2 linked regions of the Callithrix jacchus genome follow. The protein of the gene in region 2 interacts with the protein of the main gene of each other region in a pairwise test. Links are inferred from orthologs where the notes say so. Each region holds a gene or a part of one and is shown on either strand. Other genes may lie near its edges.

Region 1 (4,097 bases), on a different chromosome or scaffold from region 2:
CAAACCAACTATGGTGGAGATGATTTCACGGTCTTCAGATCAGCCATCTTGACTCTAACTGCTGCTCTGCGCAGACCCACACTTCCTCCAGCCTGCCTTACTCCGGGTTACATGACCACTTCACTTTTCATTTCCTCAGGGGGGTCGTCTGAAAGGACTGAAATGTAGGCCAGGAGCCAATGCTGATGGAAAAAAAACAAATCAGCTGTGCCCAACCCCACTCAAGTAACTGGACATGTACCCTGATGGATGGTTGTCTGAAGGCTCCAACCCCAGGGCGCCAGAGCCACAGTCACCGGAAATCCCTACCCTAATGGTTTCCAGCGTGACTGCATGCCCAGCATGAGGTGAGGCCTGAGGGTGCAACCATGAGTGAGCAGACAGCCTGCCACCTTCCACCTTTGTGAACGACTTGGTAACAACCACACCAGAATTTGTCTGAATCTATCTTTGGAAAGCACAAAGTTGTTCTGACAAGGTCTCAGAGGAGTGCAGTGGTGTGACCTTGACTCACTGCAATCTGTACCTCTCAGGATGCCTTAGCCTCCTGAGTAGCTGGGATCACAGGTGACGGCCACCATACCCGGCTAATTTTTGTATTTTTAGTAGAGAAGGAGTTTTGCCATGTTAGCCAGGCTGGTATTAAACTACTGACCCCAAGTGATCCGCCAACCTTGGCCTCCCAAAGTGCTGGGATTACAGGTATGAGCCACTGCGCCCAGCCTAAAATACTTCTTTTTGATGCCTGCCTAAGAGTGGTTAATGGACTGGCTTTGCAGTGTAACTCAGACTGTGGAGTTAAAACTTTTGCCAAAATCTATCAATCTATAAATAAGCCAAATGCCTTCCATTTACCAAGCACTCTGACTTCCAAAACACTGCCAAGAACATATCCAGCTGACCACCTGGGTATAAATGTTTAGTCAACCCAAACATCTAAAGCGTGTTTTACTCACAGGCTGCTAAGGCATATATACAGGTTCAAAAGCAACAATATGGCATGTGACAGGGTTAACTGGTAGGTTAACCAGGCACCCAAAGTATGACCCACCCAAATGTATGGGTTCAGCCTAATGCTGTCAGCCCACTGGGTCCTGAGTCATCTCTCAGGTGAAAAGTGAGAAGGGTATGAGATGTAGGGACTGTTCACATGCGGATTAATCTAAAAAGTGCGACCAGAGGCATTACTGACATCCCATAGGATTCCGGACCCTGGCTGTGCCCCAGCCAAACACACCCCAGAGATGGGGCTGCTGGAACAGAGAATAGGTCCCCTCAAAGGTCTGCATCAGGCCTTCTGCAGGCACACTGCCCACGAGGCTACACATCCTCAAGTTCAGGGGGTCTTGGAATAACTCCTGTATTGCACAATCCCACTGACAAGTACGGAAAATTAAGTTACTTTAAAATTATGTACAAACTTGGGCTGGGCGTGGTGGCTCATGCCTGTAATCCCAGCACTTTGGGAGGCCAAGGGGTGGGAGGCGGGGAATCACCTGAGGTCGGGAGTTTGAGACCAGCCTAACTAACATACAGAAACCCTGTCTCTACTAAAAATAGAAAATTAGCCAGGCGTGGTGGCACGCGCCTGTAGTCCCAGCTACTCGGGAGGCTGAGGCAGGAGAATCGCTTGAACCCTGGAGGTGGAGGTTGCAGTGAACTGAGATCATGCCATTATACCTGGGCAACAAGAGCAAAATTCCATCTCAAAATAAATTTTTTTTACAAACTTGAAGATGTCAGCCAATCTTTCAATACACTTGTGCCCACATGCATATTCTTCTGTTGTAAATATGACAACCCAGAATGTTCTAATCCCATTTTTTTTTTTTTTTTGAAATCTACCTTGAGAATGTTAAAGGACAGCTCATGAGTACTACTACTTCATGGGCCTCTCATTTTGCCAGCATCTTAACCCTGTGGGACTTTCATTTGCACTCAGTCACCGCTCCAAGGCCTAGGGTCGCAGTGCAGAGAGAACCCCCAGCGGTCAGTCATGACGGCGGCCGCGAGGTGGAGGGCAAGCCCCGCTCCTAGCCAGGCCACTCCCCCAGCTCCACACGGCATTCGGGTCTTTCTGACATTATCCCCCACGCGTGCAAGACGCATGGGCAGCCTCTGACTGGGGAGCCAAACATCCTCGGACAGGGCTGCGAAAGAAAGAGCATGGCCTTTGTTTATCTCGGAGACCTCAGGCGCGGAGCAAGCCGACACTCGCCCGCGGCCCCGGCCCTGCCCCGCCCCCTCCCCCTCCCCTCCCACGGGCCGCGGCCCCCATCACGCCCTGCCCCTCCCCTGGGCCCGCCTCCCCACGCCCCACCCAGCCCTTCGCGGGTCCGCTCCCCGACGACCCTGCCCCTTCCCGACTCCGCACCCCCGAGACCGTGCCCCGCCCCGGGTCGGCTCCCCTGTCCCCTCTTTCCCACCCCTCCCCTCTCCAGACCCCGCTCCCCCACCCCCCGACCCTGCCCCTCCCCCAGGTCCACGCCCCACTGTCCTCCCCAACCCCGGCCGCGCTTGTCTAGTGGCCGTTGGGTTCTAGCGACGACCCGGCGGCGGCAGGGCTTGCGCGCGGACCCCGCGGGGGCCGCCACTTCCTTCCGCGGTCGCACTTGGTCTCGGTAGCCGCGGGGCCCGGGTCCTCAAACGGCGGGTGGGGACGGCGGGGCCTCACCAAGATAGATGTCTCCGAAGGAGCCGCTGCCAATCTTCCGACCCAGCCGGTACCTGTTCCCGACTCTCAGCTCCATGGCGGCGGCGGCCCGGTTCGATCCTGCCCTCCCGGCCGCTTCCTGGGTCTGAGCTCCGGGAGGCGGCGCCACTGCTGCCGCTACTGCGGCTCCGGCTGCCGGCTCCGCCCCCCTCACGGCCCCGCTTTCACCATCGCTTTCCCGTTGCCCCGTCGCTCCCAGCGCCTCAATACGGGGCGGATGGGACAGTCCAAGCGCCGCCGCCGCTGCTCCGGCCCCTGCCGGCGCCGCTTGCCCTCTCCCCGCCGCGGATGGACTCGGATCTTCGGGGCCTAAATCCCCTTTCAGCAGCCTGAAGGAGCCGCCGCCATCGCGCTGTGACGTCACTTCCCTTGGCAACCCCCTGGCGGGTGGGGCCGCAGTGCTCGAGGGGCGGGGGCGGGTGGGGCGAGCGCTCCCAGCCTCCTCGGACCCTGCACCGTCTCGCAGGGCCCCAGTCCCTCTGCCCGCCCATTATCCCAGGACCTCAGGCCGCCAGCCCCTTCCACGTGCAGGCTCCTACCGCTCTCACTGGGGCTTTTCGTGTGTCCCCCGAGATTTCGGGAGAGCCAGGTGAGTTCCTGGAGACAGGCGGTGCCCTTTGCAGGAGGGAACAGGTAGCTGAGGCCCGGCCCGGAGGACACAAGTGAGACCTTCTCACTTGGCTGCCAGTTCCCGGGCGTGGGGCATCTCAGGACGTCAGCGGCTTTGCCTCCTGACACCTGAGGCCAGAGACAGAGAGGCCCGCACCCTGGGAGGTCCTGATGTCCAGCCTGAAGGATGAGGACGAGGCTACCACCTTTCACAAAATGAGGACAGACCACCTGCCTCCCACCAGTCCCTGCGGCCTGGAGACCGAGTCAACATTCTTATCTGTGTTGGATCTGAATATTCCTCCTTGCAAAAGAAAACAAGGATGTGCACGTTCAGGCTGACGGTCAGCTTCAAAGATTGGGGCCTTTGATTCCCATCACTGGGAAGAAAGCCCTCCAGAGAAGCCCCCCCAGGCTGCGGCGCATGGGGACCATGAAGAACCAGTCCCCGTGGTCCCATGTCCACCTGTCTCAACCTGTCCCATCCTTGCTGAAACTCAAGAAGGTGAAACAGGTGAATTCAGGGCTCTGGTGTGGGCACCGTGGCCTAAGTGAGACAGAAGCCTCAGCTGGCATCTGGGTCACTGCAGAAGAGGAAAGCAGCCCCCGAAGGGCCCTGCAGTGGCACCCACCAGTCTCCATCCCCGTCTTTCCTCTCCACCCCTCAGCTCCCATGGAGGTAGATATCCCGGGGAGGCAGATATCCATTCCTGAAGTTACACAGTAGGGCCTGAAGACAGGAGATGCAGTCAGCCAGACACCATCAGTCACTAAC
Region 2 (3,500 bases):
TGGCTGTGTCTGTATTGCTGTCTGCTCTCTCCCCAGCCGGTCCCCCACAGCGGCTCCAGTGGCTACGGGAGTCTGGGCAGCAACGGGTCCCACGAGCACCTCATGAGCCAGACCTCCTCCAGTGACAGCAATGGCCATGAGGACTCACGCCAGAGGAGAGTCGTACGTCCCCTTCCATTCTCCCTGAGAAAATGAGGTTGTGGACGTCCGTTCAGAGTTAAAAAGCACACTCAAGACAACCCTTGGCAGTCAGGAGAGGCTTCATCATCACAGCTGTTTCTGCTTCCTTTCTAAACTTTGTTCACTTGGGACTTACTCTTTAATTTCTTAAGAGTCTAAACAGCTAGAAGCTATAGCTAAGCATTTGGTTGAAACTTACATAAAACAGACCAAACAAGCAACAGTGAAGATTTAACTAGGATAGAAAGAAGAAAATATAGGCCCGGCAGGGTGGCTCACGCCTGTAATCCCAGCACTTTGGGATGTTGAGGCAGGTGGATCACCTGAGGTCAGGAGTTCAAGACCAGCCTGGGCAACACGGTGAAACCCCATCTCTACTAAAAATACAAAAAATTAGCTGGGCATGGCGGCATATGCCTGTAATCCCAGCTACTCAGGAGGCTGAGGCATGAGAATAGCTTGAACCCGGAGGCAGAGGTTGCAGTGACCCAAGATTGTGCCATTGCACTCCAGCCTAGGCAACAGAGTAAGACTCCATCTCAAAAAAAAAAAGAAGAAAATTTAATGTGCTGTTTTGCTTTATTTTTTATTGTTCCTTAGGATCTTCGAATAGGTTTTATGTAGCTCTGCCTCTCAGATTTCTCATTCAGATTTTCCTTCTGTGTTGCCGAAATTCTCTCAGCCATCCTCAGTTCTCACTTTGGGGGACAAACTGAAGGAGGTCTCCTCAAACGAATAACGTGTTCATTTTATTTTTCTTCAAGGAAATTTGTAAAAATGGTAACAAGACCAAAAACAGAAGTCATTATTCTCATGAATCTGGAGAACAAAAGAAAAAACCTGTTACAGGTAAAAAAAAAATTCTGCATTTCCTTACTGAAACCAGAGTGTGGCCGAGTGAGAAAAGGGACCTGGGTGGAACGCTCACTGTGGCGGGCAGGGCTGCACCTCCTCCTGTGTTCAGCAGTCTGCAGCTTCAGGAGGCGAGAGCAGCCTGGTCCTGGGCTCACTCCGCCAGTGCAGGCACTGATGTCTGCTGGGTACCTGGTGCCCTGCAGGCCTGGTGGAGTGTGGCCAGGTGTGCAGGTCTGAAGAGCTGTGGCCGGGTGTGCCTGCCTGCCCGCTGGATGTGCCTGGGAGCCATGGCCTGGGCCGCTCGTTCTTGCTGTAGAGTGGCTGTATGGCCATGTGCTTACACTTGCATAACCTTTACACACTCACACATACACACACACACACACACCTGCTGACAGACTACCCAGCATCCACATACACAAACCTGTCTCAAGTGGAGAGTGTCACCCAGAGGCCATCGACCCACTCCCACTGCAGCAGCCCTTGCCTCACCACGTGCCACACTTCCCAGGCAGCTTCACACCGTCACCTGTGGGTTCGGGTTCAGGCTGCTCCTCTGCCCAACATGCATTTCTCACACAGCACGCACACAGACGTGCACACACATGCATGTGTCCCAGTCCTCCCCCTGCTGGGCCCTTGCTCATTCCCTATGCTCAGGCCAAAGCCTCCTGTGGGAAACGTCGGGCCCAGAGCACACTCCAGCCAGACACTGCTAGGACTTCTGGCCTTTGGGACGCGTTGGTGGACATGCTGCATGCTGGACTCTGTGCCGGGTTTCAGGGAGACACTGATGAGGTGGACATAGCTGTTTGCTCTGCTCGAGGGCCCCTACGGACAGGCATGTGATGTATGTCATGGGGGCAAGAGTCGACTCCACAGCATAGTGCAGGAGGCAGTAGGCATCATAATCATTACTAGCAGAGATCACATTGAAAACATTGGCCTGGCCCAGGAGGGACTTAAAGTACATGGGCTCTCATTGGCCCTGAAAGTTTAAGAGTTCAAGTGAGAGCTGGCATCTCCCACTGCTGAGTCCCTGACCCCTGGGGATGGCCTAGACCCCGGAGAGAAGCAGGCACCAGGCTGGGCAGCAGCCCCCTCCCAGGCCTCCCTGTGGACGGCACTGTGGTGCTCGTGCCCACAGGGCTGCCGGATGCCAAGCTGTCCCTGGGCTTCCATACCCGTGAAGCAGATTCTGAGTCCCCAGCCCTGTCTTCAGGTAGAACGAAAATGCTTTCTAAATACACAGTGTTTTCTTCAGGAGAAAAATAAATGAAAACCATTTTGCCGTTTCTTCAGAAATGCAGACTAGTCCCCCAGCTGAAATGAAAGCTGTCCCTGCCGTGGAAAAAGACAGCGTGGGGGCCAGCTTCCCGGAGGAGTTGGCCTGCAGGGAACAGCCCACCTGCTCCTACCAGCAGATCAGCTGCCTGGATGGCGTCATCAGGTACGCCGGCACTTCCCGCCGAGTCTCCACCATCTCCTGCCTTCCTGCCCCTCGTGTTGTGTGGCATCACCAGTGGCTCATGCCCTTCACACAGGTACTTGGAGAGCTGCAGTGAGGCTTCCACCCTGAAGAGGAAGTGCGAGTTCCCAGCAAACGTCCCAACACTAAGGTCCGGCGATAAGCGCAAGGCCACAGTCAGCCCGGGGCTGCGTGCTGCAGGTATCTGATCTGGGTAGAGCCGTTTCTATGGGTAATAGTATAAATCCTCTGGAGTGGAATCAGGCATTCTCAAGGCTTCCATGGACACAGTCTAAGCGTTCAGGCTATTTCTCAAATGATGAAAGTAGTTTAAAAGTCAGCACCCTCCTTAGAAGAGCTAGAGGTAAAGATGATTCTGTCAGAGCCTTGGCTTTGAGAACAGGAACCCAGCGGGGCTGCTGGAGGCCTGAGAATGTCCCCTGACCCCCTCTTGTAGCCACACTGGTCTTGAGTTGTCAGCCTAGGGCAGGCCTTCTTTCCAATGCATCTCGGAGGGGCCCTTGTCCCTAAATGTTAACATGCCCCATAAATCACAGACTGCTTAAATGCTGTCAGTGTTGCTGATGGTCACCACCAGGATTAGAAACAGGGTACCCTGGCCAGGCACAATGGCTTATGCCTACAATCCCAACACTTTGGGAGGCCGGGATGGGTGGATCACTTGAGGTCAGGAGTTTGAGACCAGCCTGGCCAACACGGCAAAACCCCATCTCTACTAAAACTACAAAATTAGCCGGGCGTCGTGACACATGCCTGTAATCCCAGCTACTTGGGAGGCTGAGGCAGGAGAATTGCTTGAACAGGTGGAGGTTTCAGTGAGCCGAGATTATACCACTACAGTCCAGCCTAGGTGACAGAGGGAGACTCCATCTCAAAAGAGAGAGAAAGAGAAACAGGGTAACCCAGATTACAGTTGGTTCCTGACTGTCGGAAAAGCCCCTCCCTGCAAGCCTGCAGAAGGGCTCCCCGGCCGCAG

What was found.
Region 1: the proteins of PER2 (region 2) and CSNK1D interact in binary tests that used the Homo sapiens proteins (3 or more experiments, as listed by UniProt). The link is inferred for Callithrix jacchus from reciprocal best matches to the Homo sapiens genes PER2 and CSNK1D.

The regions. Positions count from the first base shown.
Region 1 is NC_133506.1:137,905,637-137,909,733, forward strand, and holds the start of CSNK1D (casein kinase I), read right to left. Parts: upstream 2,801-4,097; 5' UTR 2,751-2,800; coding exon 2,675-2,750; intron 1,983-2,674; exon of another isoform or gene 1,846-1,982; intron 1-1,845. UniProt on the Homo sapiens protein: Essential serine/threonine-protein kinase that regulates diverse cellular growth and survival processes including Wnt signaling, DNA repair and circadian rhythms. It can phosphorylate a large number of proteins.
Region 2 is NC_133507.1:159,581,891-159,585,390, reverse strand, and holds part of PER2 (period circadian protein homolog 2), read left to right. Parts: intron 1-36; coding exon 37-162; intron 163-944; coding exon 945-1,029; intron 1,030-2,337; coding exon 2,338-2,485; intron 2,486-2,579; coding exon 2,580-2,704; intron 2,705-3,500. UniProt on the Homo sapiens protein: Transcriptional repressor which forms a core component of the circadian clock.